Linked DNA regions of Kluyveromyces lactis. The protein of the gene in region 2 purifies or fractionates together with the protein of the main gene of each other region. This does not show direct contact. Links are inferred from orthologs where the notes say so. Each region holds a gene or a part of one and is shown on either strand. Other genes may lie near its edges. The genes, in order: APM1, APL4 and LAA1.

What was found.
Region 1: the proteins of APL4 (region 2) and APM1 purify together in Saccharomyces cerevisiae (affinity purification with mass spectrometry; 5 studies listed by BioGRID). This does not show direct contact. The link is inferred for Kluyveromyces lactis from reciprocal best matches to the Saccharomyces cerevisiae genes APL4 and APM1.
Region 3: the proteins of APL4 (region 2) and LAA1 purify together in Saccharomyces cerevisiae (affinity purification with western blotting; 3 studies listed by BioGRID, with this or other methods). This does not show direct contact. The link is inferred for Kluyveromyces lactis from reciprocal best matches to the Saccharomyces cerevisiae genes APL4 and LAA1.

The regions. Positions count from the first base shown.
Region 1 is NC_006040.1:1,214,993-1,218,476, forward strand, and holds APM1 (Apm1p), read left to right. Parts: upstream 1-1,581; coding exon 1,582-2,913; downstream 2,914-3,484. Other genes in the region: KLLA0_D14201g (2-isopropylmalate synthase), read left to right, coding at 1-86; telomerase subunit EST3, read left to right, coding at 737-1,291; thioredoxin peroxidase DOT5, read right to left, coding at 3,156-3,484. UniProt on the Saccharomyces cerevisiae protein: Component of the adaptor complexes which link clathrin to receptors in coated vesicles. Clathrin-associated protein complexes are believed to interact with the cytoplasmic tails of membrane proteins, leading to their selection and concentration.
Region 2 is NC_006041.1:592,848-597,277, reverse strand, and holds APL4 (AP-1 complex subunit gamma), read right to left. Parts: upstream 2,918-4,430; coding exon 515-2,917; downstream 1-514. Other genes in the region: YOP1 (Yop1p), read left to right, coding at 1-336; ECM21 (Ecm21p), read left to right, coding at 3,493-4,430. UniProt on the Saccharomyces cerevisiae protein: Adaptins are components of the adapter complexes which link clathrin to receptors in coated vesicles. Clathrin-associated protein complexes are believed to interact with the cytoplasmic tails of membrane proteins, leading to their selection and concentration.
Region 3 is NC_006039.1:283,867-288,138, reverse strand, and holds the start of LAA1 (AP-1 complex accessory protein LAA1), read left to right. Parts: upstream 1-1,451; coding exon 1,452-4,272. Other genes in the region: KLLA0_C03201g (uncharacterized protein), read left to right, coding at 1-1,166. UniProt on the Saccharomyces cerevisiae protein: Involved in localization of clathrin adapter protein complex-1 (AP-1) and subsequent AP-1-mediated clathrin-coated vesicle cargo loading.

The DNA.
Region 1 (3,484 bases), on a different chromosome or scaffold from region 2:
CTCTGGCTTCATTCTTGGCGTTGTTATCTTGTATAAACGGTCTTGATAGGGCAAAGAACTTCACTGTCAATTCAGCTGCCAATTGATCTACCCATGCGGTATGGAAATAAACGCCATCATATCTGAACTATATATATATATATATAAATCAATGAGATATACCGATATTTATTTCAATAATGAAACATGAACAAAAGCTTCCAAAGGCATTCCCATGTTTCTTCTATTATGGCCATGCTCGTGGGTAAAGCATATTTACCAGAACCTATTGTGTCATCTGTGGCCCCTTTTACATGACAAAAGTAAGTCGGTTATATTCTATTCTTGTCGTAAATGTTTCAAGAATGAAGCGGTGGCTCAATGGTAGAGCTTTCGACTCCAGTTAAATTCTGGGAATTTTCCAAGGAAACAAAATTGCAATCGAAGGGTTGCAGGTTCAATTCCTGTCCGTTTCATTTTTTAACATTTTTGCATAGCTAGTCACATGACTACTTTTGCCACGTGGATTATGATTTTGTCCAATAAACTCTCATCGAATTTACTATTCCGCGATAGTTTAATGGTTAGAATTCGCGCTTGTCGCGTGCGAGATCGGGGTTCAATTCCCCGTCGCGGAGGAATTTTTTTACATTTTTGTATCAAGGTACAATCTCATCCTAAAACCCATTGTAGTACAGAAACAGAGAAGCATTATTAACATACACTGAACAGAGACTCTAACCTTATCAATCCTCACATGCCCAATGTTGTACTTTCTTCAAGATTAACGAATAATGATTCAGTGTTCTTGCAGGAATGGATTAAACCTTCGGTAAGGCCTTATTATTTAAAGAATGAAAAGACGAAATTCTGGCCAGAACAACGTGAACTGGTAACGGACTTACTAGAACATGATATCATAGAGTCAGCTTTCCAAACGGCTTTGAATCCCGCACCTCAGAGGTTCGTCAGAATTGTTAAATTCCATAGAGTAAACGATTACACCGTTTATGCAACGATTAGAGACTCTACAGCATTAATTCTATGCTACTTCACTGTAGACTGCGTGCTAGATTACGAAACTATAAACAATGATAGGATCACATTGAATACACTGAATACGTTGTTCGTCATCGGCAATGTAACCCTACAGTTTTGGAACCACAGAGAGTGCAAATTATGGTTCAATCAGGATTTTCCTGGACTTCGAATGGTCCCCGTGCTCAAGATTGAAAAGGCCCGGATGTTTGACAGAGACCAGATCTCGTCCAATGTCCAATTTGAATGGGTATATGACACACTTCATGGTTGAAGGTCTCTCTTGCCGAGTGTTCGCATTGTTAGATGCAATTTAGCACCTCGTGTATGTGGTGTACCGCTGTAAATAAGTGAAATTTCGGTATCCAAAGCATTGAAATCTCGAAACTACATTTATAAATAGTGTCTGAACAATGAACAATCTAAGTAATAGCCAAACCGTACACTAATATATCGGTATAGGACCCTGTATAGTAACCAATTGTGCAGTATCACTAGTGTGTTTTTTGCTCTTTCTTTGGTGGAGTTTCAGGAGGCAACATTTCTTAAAAAGATACCAGTATAATGGCTTCGTACGTTGCATTTTGTGATTCAAAGGGTAAGCCACTACTCTCGAGAAGATACCAAGATGATGTCTCACAGTCTGCTGTCGAATCGTTCCAGCATTTGTTACTAGAAAGAGAACAGGAAAGCAGTGTCATGCCTCCTTGTTTCCATCACAATGGGATTCACTACATGTACGTGCAGTATAACGATGTTTACGTGCTAGCATTGACCAGGTCAGTATCCGTTAATGCTACCACTATGTTCGCCTTCATGTACAAGTTGATCAATGTAGTTGAGGAGTACGTGAAAAGGGTGGAAGAAGAGTCAATCAGAGATAATTATATTATCATATACGAACTTTTAGACGAAATGATGGATAAAGGCGTTCCGCAAGTGACAGAAACGAAAATGTTGAAACAGTATATTACTCAGAAGTCATTCAAATTGACTAGGTCAGCGAAGAAGCAAAAGAATGTGGCTAGACCACCAACCGAATTGACCAATTCTGTCAGTTGGAGACCAGAGGGTATCAAGTACAAGAAGAACGAAGCGTTCTTGGATGTAATCGAATCGATCAATATGCTAATGACACAGCAGGGCCAAGTATTAAGATCTGAGATCTTGGGTACTGTCAAAGTTAGATCCCGTTTATCTGGTATGCCTGATTTGAAATTGGGTTTGAATGATAAAGGTATTTTCACAACTAATGATCAAGAAGATTCACCTGAACCTGTAGTTTCTTCGAAGAAAAAGAATAGTAATATAGAACTTGAGGATCTAAAATTCCATCAATGTGTGAGATTGAGCAAGTTTGAGAATGAAAAGATTATCACGTTCATCCCACCTGATGGGGAATTTGATCTAATGACTTATAGACTCTCTACCCCGATCAAACCTTTGATATGGTGTGACGTTAAGGTACAGGTACATTCAGGGTCTCGTATCGAGATTCACTGTAGGGCAAAGGCACAAATTAAAAAGAAGTCAGTAGCGAATAATGTGGAGATTTTAATACCGATTCCGGAAGACGCAGATTCGCCCACGTTCAAATATTCTCGTGGTAATATCAAGTGGGTTCCTGAAAAGAATGCAATTCTATGGAAATTTAGTAGTTTCCAAGGTGGTAAAGAGTACTCAATGGCTGCGCAACTGGGGTTGCCCTCAGTCTCTGATGCTGAACCACCAAAATTAAAAAGACCAGTACAAATCAAATTCCAAATTCCTTATTTCACAACATCCGGTATTCAAGTTCGTTATTTGAAAATCGAAGAACCAAAGCTACAGTATAATAGTTATCCTTGGGTACGTTACATTACGCAGAGCGGAGACGATTACACCATCAGGCTGTGAAAGTGACCATGATTTGAAGAATTTCTGGCCATCCTACTCTAATCTATCAGTGCTTATATGAGGAGAAAGATTCATTTGCAATTAAAAATGAAACGCCCTTGAGAGAAACGCTACTCAATCTGATCTTATGTGTGTATATAGTAATATAAATCTTTTTCCATTCTCAATTATGTTTAAATCCTTTGACATTTACTATTACATATGAGAAATCGATCGTCAGTAACTATGTTAGCCACTGGGTTTTATAAAGACTTGGCCAATTCTAAAACCTCTTTCTTACCTTCTTCAATACTGACCTCAGGTGAAACTTGAACCCTCTTCACTTCTAGTTTACCGTTCTTGAAGATCCAGTGAGATCTGACAACACCAGAAACAGCTGTCTTCTTAGCACCCAAAGCTCCGATAAATTCACGTTTAGGGTCGCTTAATAGATCAAAAGGCAAGGCTTGCTTAGTTTGGAAACTCTTCTGAGACTTTGGAGCGTCAGCACTTAGTCCAAAAACAGCAGCGTGTTCCTTCAATTCGCTATAATTGTCTCTGTAGCCACACGCTTGTCTAGTACAACCAGGTG
Region 2 (4,430 bases):
ATTCCAACATACTATTCTTTGAAAGCATTGAAGACTGCCACATCAACGGATGACACACAATTGTTAACTTATTGGATTGTTTTTTCGTTTTTGTCTGTGATCGAGTTCTGGTCCAAGGCTATTTTGTACTGGGTTCCATTCTACTGGTTCTTTAAGACTGTTTTCTTACTGTACATTGCCATTCCATCATTCGGCGGTGCCCAACTTGTTTACACGAGGTTGATTTCACCATTCTCTGACAAATACCTACCTATCGTGGAAGGGAAATCGGGAGAACTGGCCCAGAAAGTCGAAGCTGCTGCCAACAACGCTAAGGCTTCTGGATACTCCCGTTAAATTCTTCTTAGTTGAAAAATCACCCTCTGGTCCAATTTTCTTTTGAGTTCGCTTATTTGATTGCGGAAATGTGAACTCGTACCGGTGTTTATCGACATAGATCCCTTATCTACATGATGTGATTGTTATATCGTTTTATAGTTTACACAATATTACTTTAAGGCATCTTTAACGCTCGTTAATGGGGGATGTTTTCAAATTTATAATCGAATTGATCCTCGGTGGAGTTGATATTCAATTTGACCCTTAGCTTGATTTTCCCAGATCCTAGAATTTTAAGACCCTGCTTAGCTACTTCACCTGTAGCTACCTTGTGGCTTGACAGAGATCCGAATTCTGCCTTCTGTGATTTAGGAACAGCGATTAGGATCTGTAAGGTATTAATATTCGTTTTAGCTTTCAAGAATAGGTCTATTTCAGTACAACCGGGGATTGACGATTCTACTTTACCATAAACTTCAACAATATCAGATGAGTGGATATTGATAGAGTTTGGTGGTATTTCTATGCGTTGTTGGAAGGATGATGATAAAGTTGACCCATTTTGATTTGATGATTGGGGTGCTGGAGTATTGCTCAAGTTAGATAATAGATCATTAGAAGGTTTTGTAGGCGCAGTAGTTTCTGGAGTAGAGAGATCTCCTAGTAAATCTAGAAGAAGATCATTTTCCTTCTTTTTCACTTTCTTAATAGCTGGTGCAGGTACTTTCTGAGAGAAGGTTCTTAATGCAGCAGTCTCTGAGACCTTTTTATGGAAAATGGGCATTGGTTCAAGTAACGCAGCTTTAACACTTGTAGACTCATTGAATAATATTCCATACTGGACAGCCTTTGTTTGAATCATGACGTTGGTGTTTTCCGTGTGGCCTTTAATTAACTGCCTCAATCTATTGGATAGCACTTTTGTATCAATCTTTACAGATAGCTTCAAAGCAGCCAGCAAAACATAGCTTGTTACCATAGGGTTATCACAGTACAAGCTATCGGATTCATATAAGTAACCTGTTAAATTTGTTTCTGTGCATCTGCCATTACCTAAAATCAGATCAGCGTATTCACCGATGCACCAAATCGAGACAACTCTCCATGCTAAATTTTCGTCTGAGACTTGGCTAGAGTCATTATCCAATGCTACGTTGATAATGTTAGAAACCACTTGCTTCTTATGTTCCAGGTTCGAATTATTGTTAATCATAATTAATGCATCAGTAGTCTTCTCAACTGAAATATATTGGCCAACAAATTTCAATATTTTAACTATGACATCCAGTTTCCAGGAATCATCTATTTCATCTTGAAGATCGAAAACCATTATAAGTTGATCTACACAGTACAATATTAGTCCTTTATCGTTTTCTCCTGCTTTTTCTAAGAACGTAAGAATCTCTGCGATCAATTCCCTCATATTTGTTTGGTTTAAAATTGCGAACGTCATCTCAAGAGCCCTCTTTTTGATTGAAATATCAGAATCAAAGATACAACGTGAGATAAACTTTCTATGCCTTTGGACCGCCTGTGGCTCTACCGAAACAACATCTAACAATGCGTTTAATGAAACATATTTTGTGTTGTAATCCTTGTCTGCAACTAGATTACCCAACACGTTGACACCTAGTACTCTCAAGGAGCGCTCTGCTTGGAATGAAAAAATAGTGCGCACTGCCTCGTATAAGACTGAAGTACAACTATTCGAAGTAGTTGGAGTGTAAGTTGCAACTCGGGTCAATGTATCCAAGTAGTTATTCTTGTAAGGCTTAGTTTGCTCAGGGAAGTACTGCAAGAACAAACGTAATGTAGTCATGAGTTCGACTTGTAAAAATGGATCGAGACAACCGCCAACGTTATATTCTGGGTTGGACGATCCTAAATTCAAATGGTGTAGTTTTCCTAAGAGATCAGGTATCAAGGAGGATAGTTTATCAATGATCTCTGGTAGATTATCAAATTCGTACGATTTGGTATTGATGATGATTGCCTGGATCAATTTGTTGGTACCAATTAGAACACCATGGCTAGTAGATTCTTTACTCGAAAGCATCTTGTTAGCGTAAGGAGCGAAAATTTCCAAAAGGGATGGATCCCTCGCAATAAGTTTTCCAGAGCATGCCAACGCCTTTTTGATCAGAAAACTGTCCCTGGAATGCTCTAGAATATTTTTGATATCGGTATACAAATCACGAGCCAACTCTGGAGAAGTCAAAGCGCCCAATGCGTTGATTGCTAACGAAACCACATATCTCGATGGATGATTCAAATCGTTATTCAAAAGATTGGTCAAAAGAGTCAACAATTCCTGATTCTCATCCAATAACAAAACTGCAGCAAGATATCCAACTCTCTTATCGGCGAAGTCTTCAGAAGCAATTAAGTTTATACACTCTACCTGGGCAAAATGTGTCTTTTCTCCCAAGATATACAAATATAACAGCTTGTTAATGTACTTCCTTCTCCTTTCCAGTGAAATATGATCATCCTTCAACTTGGTCCTGATCCTTGCTGATTCCTTGGTAACGATTGACCTTTCTTCAGCCAACGTTTTCGCGGCCCTGACTTCCTTAATGAAAGTCCTCAATGAACCCATTGTTTCTACTTATGTTTCCCAACAAACAAAAAATTGCTAAAGCTCTTTGCGCACCTATATACAACTTATAGTTGAAAACACCACACGCACGCACACTCCCAGCGTTAATTGCAAAAGTTACAGATACCGTGTACGCTGTTCTCAGTTGTCAAGCCCAGTATACGTTACATGTATTTATAGCTATTCTTGTTTATAGAACTGTCCTTTCCAGATTTCGAAATCATGGAAATTATTTATGGCCCCCAAACCTGATTTCTGGGCCCAAGGAAGTTTTTAATGAAAAAGAACCCTTCAAATCTGAAATGTAAATAGTTCATACCAACTAAGTAGGCTGATGATTAACATAAATATAATCCGATGTTTCAGCAGGGAGAGCAAAGTCTAATCTATTCAGCTTAGTGGGTTAGCGAATACATATAGTATTGTGGTTTTTCCTAAACAAGAACTTCACACTTTGGTCACTTTTAAAGTTATTTATTTATTGATCATTTGGTTCTTTTTGCATCCAAGGTAAGTAACCAAACCCTTTTGAGAGATAAGCTGAGATTTTACAGGTCCACGACGGTTGGAAGATAATGTCATTTTTCAGTTCACATCTGGGGTCGTCCTCTGGAAAGCAGAAGGATGGGAATAGGAAAAGATCTTCGTCAATCAAGCAAGCATTTGCATCCATCTTAGGAGCTAGCGGGTCAAAAAGTAGTGGTTCTACCCTTTCAAGGTCAAACAGTAATGGACGTTCCGCAAGTGTACCAAGCTCTAATAGCGCTCGTAGGGCATCTTCCAGACGGCCCAGTGGCGCATATGGCACTTCTGCTATGCCTGCAGGATTCAGTCCGATGATGGCCTTTGGAACGCCGTATTCTATCTATGGATATCAAGATTACGGAGCCCCACAGAACGAATTAGCGATGTCTTCGGAAGAAGGAACTGATAACGAAATTGACGAGGATCAAGGAGATAGCAGTCTGTTGGATTATAGCCTTGGAGGCAACGATTCTGATGGAGACCTAGGCAATGACATCTACACATCATCTTTACAACCGAGCAGATTTCAGAGTCAGCCTAATCGTAGAATGTCTAATGATGACGAACGTGGTGGACCTTTCTCTGTGGTAAGCGATGATGAAGATGATGATGAATATGACGGTCCAGACAATGAAAACGATGGAGATGATGAAGGTGATGATGATGACTTTGAGGAGAATTGTTTGGGCAGGAGGATTACAAGGGTATCGACCGCTTTCAGTGCGACTGGTTCGCAGATCAGCAACACCGTCGTGAACAGGAAAAAAACTGCCAAAACGTGTTTGCTAAATTACTTGGCTGACCGTGGATTATTAAGACCAAGACTTCTTTCTTCGAAGAATGGTGTTACCTTCCACGTTGCCACTTCCGGTGATAACATATTTTTACCTACTATCTCGCCAACTGACGATGAATACTTAAATCATTTGAGCAGACTTAATGATGATGATGATGATGGTGCATTTGGTGATGCGTTAGAACGTTTAGC
Region 3 (4,272 bases), on a different chromosome or scaffold from region 2:
CCATCTTCATGCTTACAATATTTTTGCAGTGCAGTGCAAATTTATCCTCAGGATATACATACATTGGCATTGCTCTTCGTACTGCTATCAAACAAAATTTCCATAGGAAGACCTCTCTACAAAACTTGAATTTGCTTGAACAAGAAACGATTAAAAAATTATTTTGGACAATTTATAAAACTGACATCTATATGAATTGTATTTTGGGACTTCCAAATTCTCTAGATGAATCTCTCATAGACCAGGAATTTCCTTCTGATATTGATGACGACAGAATTTTAGAAAATAGACTTTTAGTGCAGCCTTCAGGGAAGCTCAGCTCTGTTGGTATGAATAACGAGCACACAAAACTAATTTTGATAATGAATAATGCCCATAAAATTCTTTATCCAATGTCTTTGACTGTTACTTCTATTTCACATAGTGAGATTAGCAAGTTAGAAGGTGAATTGTCCAACTGGCTTGAGAGATTACCGTTTCAGTTGAAACCAGAATTTTCCCCCACTTCAGAAAAACTTGCACCATATCTTAAACCTAATCGCTATTTGCATCTTGATTATCTTCATGCTGAAATTATGCTATATCGACCATTTATACACTATCTTGTTTTAGATAGTGAGGAATTCCCCAATTATCAGTTTCATATTCATATGGCCAATAAGTGCATAAATACAGCTCGTAAAGTTATTCGATTGGCTGTAGAGATGGATCAACAGAAAGTTTTAAACGCCGTTTACTGGTTTTCCGTCCATACAATTTTTTTTAGTGTTGCGTGCTTATTATATTTCATGCATCAAATGAAATTGAAAGGGTGTAATCTAAGTAGTCCTAACACCGAAAAGGACTGCAGAGATGGTTTTAACTTACTGTTGCAATTAAAGAATGTTTCCCTGGCATCTAGTAAAACTTTCGAGGTTCTAAAATCTTTATTCGAGAAATTAAACCAAAAAACTATGGAATTATCCGATACAGTGTTACCCAACATTATTGCTAAACAAAAGGAACATGAACTGGAAGCTTTTACCAAAATATCCGACCTCTTTATGGAGAATGAAATTGATGAGAATTTACTGGAATATCAAAATGTCGCATTGCCTGACCCAACCGAATTTGATAATGACTTTTTGAATAAAATTTTGAGTCAATTTTCATCAGATCTCAGTTGAATATTTCTATCGGTAGTATGTTCTTCTTTGGTGTTATGTGTATGTATGTATATGTATGTACTTCACTCTGTAAAAGGGTTATAATATTATGATTTTGAAAATTACCTTATAAGGTAACTAGGTTGTCGTTGAATTTAATCTATTTAAACTTTTTCTTTTTTTTTAGTCTGCCTTCTGGATATTTCACCAAAGATCTTCAGTTTAATATATATCAATTAATGGTAGGACACCTTTCCAATTCGACTGGTTGTCGTTTATCTGATTGAGTCAAATATATATATATTAATGGGAGATACATACGTTTCGCTTACTGAGCGCCTAGCATCGTCCGAAGGAAAAAGAGCCACCTTTATCAATTGGATCACCGAATCATTATCATGCAAAACCCTTAATACTGCGGATGTTCTTGATGATACTGTCGAGTTTCTACGAAGCATAATTGTGGCCGAAGACCGTGATGTGGTTGAATACGAATCCAAAGTGATCTCTTATCAGTTATCCAATCTATGTGTTCTATGCTTGAAGGATTTATATCAGGAAAAACCAGGAAAGGTGTATGATTTCGCTGGTTTTCTTTGTAACATTCTGTGCGAGAACTATGAAGAAGTTGTTCAAGGTCCTGCTCTTAAGAAGAGATTCAAGAAGCATAAAAGTACACACTTATATTCTGTTGTCAAAGATTATGCTATTACAATTTTGTGTCATTTATATGCTTGTTTTTCTGAAGATTTGCACTCTTTATCTGCTATGATTATTCCTGTATTATTCAAAGATCTTAAGAAGGTTTTAGAAAAACCTAAATACTTTAACTCGAATTATGCTATTTTTTTGATGAGGCTGTTCCAAACTATATCCATGTATAACAGTAACAATGCGATAGATGATCATTATCATCAGAAATATTTAAAACTGGTTAAGGATGTATTTTCTGATATTTCTGATGAAAGAGTTGATTACCCCTCTGATTTTGTTTCATCTTTGGTTGAGAATTTGACTGGTTACTTTGAGTCCAATTATTTTGTCAAAGCTCACAAAAATGACTTCTTGGACGTTATGCGTTCGAATATAAATTCAATTTTGACCGTCTGCGTTAAGTGTCCCAAATGGAGGATTGCTATCGCAGAATCGTTGGCTAAAATATTAGGCTACTATGTTTCCGTGGACTTGATGGAGCCTAAAGTCGCTTGTGAATTTTATGGTAATTTGTTTTGTTCTCTAAACTTTAAGGCGGGTAGGATTGCGATTCTGGAATCATTACATCAATTTATGTTTGTTAACTTCACCCGGAATACAAAGTTTTTGATGGGTGATAAGTACCTAAGTCTCTTTCAATGTTTTGTCGAATGCTTATGTCGTTGTGGTATAGTGATTTCTATTGAAGATATCGAGTTGTTTAACTTGGTCCATAACCAAACTCTGCCTTTTCTTACAGATTCAGCAAGGACATCAGTCATTGATGAAATTTTTAATGCTGCTGATAGGTACATTCTATCTGACAACCTAGAACAAACACAAAGTATACTAGGTTTATTAAGTGTTTTCTTCAGAGATCTGCCTGCTAATGTGATTGCTGACAGAGGGCTTGGAGAAAAGATTCAAGCTTCTCTTCTGAAAGTAAGTGCTGTTGAAAATCTAACTGTAAGGATAAATTCTGTCTATTGCTTGCAGTTATTTCTTCATAGCGTGCCATACAAAATTCCAGGTGTGGTTGATGAGCTATTGGAGAAACTTTCTTCTCAGTTTCAGATCGAGAAGGGTTTTAGTTTTGCAGGAAACCACGGAATATGCCTTCTGATAAGTTCTATCATTACTTCTCGTGATCCCGACTTTGTCTCATTCGATTTGATAATGCGAGTAACGGCTTTTGCAGTTGGTACTTTAAAATCTAACTCACTGAGTACCAAAAAAGTACTATATGAAAAGGAACTACTTTGTTGGATTCTATTGACCGGAGCTTTGTGTTTCCAAGACGAGAAGTATATCAAAACTCATTCTCCGCAATTGTTTATTTTTTGGCGAAACATTTTCACTCACTCGGCGGTTTATCATACCGAAGATGAACTTATGAAGAACATTGAAATTAGAAACCATGCTTTGTCTTGTATGATATCCTTTTTACGGTCAAGTGTTTTGAATGAAGAACTTTCTAAACAGGTTTTTTATTTAATTTCGAAATGTCTTAATTTTAAACACTCTGTGACTGCTGTTTCTGGTTCCATGAAAGAACTTTTGGCACGTTATGAACATCGGATGTATCAGGTTTTTCTTCTTATTTGTCCTTATGTTCATAAGGATGTTAGTACCTCGGCTCTATTACAGGCTTTGAAAAACTTTAGTAACCCAGTTAATTGTTTCGAGGATGGTTGTTTGCATGTGTCTGCTCCACAAAAAGCCGAAGAAGTTGCTCGTTTTCCCGCCGTCGGTAGGTTTTCTGATGTGTTAACTTGTAGTGAAAGTGCTGACTATGGAGTATCTACTTTCGTAAAATCTGTTCAGTCTTTTGGAACAAGCAAACCTTGTTTATTGGAGGAGGCATGGGAGAAACCTGTTGTAACTTCTAGGTCTTTTGATTATAATCATGTTATTCTTAATTTATCTCCACCTGTCCCATACTCTATTGCGTTGATTGACGTTTCATTGGAACTATTTTCTCTTTGTTTTCCTTTTACTAGTCAATCTGTTCAGCGTTCTTTGATAGAGACTCTAATTTCAAATGTTTTAACTAACTCCCATACTCGTCACAAGTATTCGGTGGTAAAGGCTAATGTTCTTTTTGCTATGTATATGGCATTAGTAGAAGTTGATAGGTGTAAGCTTGGAGTACATTGTACGATTGGTGAGCTAATAATTAATGTGTTGGACGAGTGTTCTTTTTCTGATGATGATATTTTATATGATTTGAAAGGACGCTGTTTTGGTTTTGTTTGTGCTGCAGTTAAACGTACTGGAGATGAAAAGTTTTCGAAAAGTTTAATCAATGTGTCAATTCAGAGGATTGTAAGTGATGTCAATCCTATATCTCGTGGGTTGAATCTTTTCATCATTTGTAATATTTTGAACGAGGATCCTGGATGTAGTGAATTTGCTGTTGTGTTAGATATTGTAA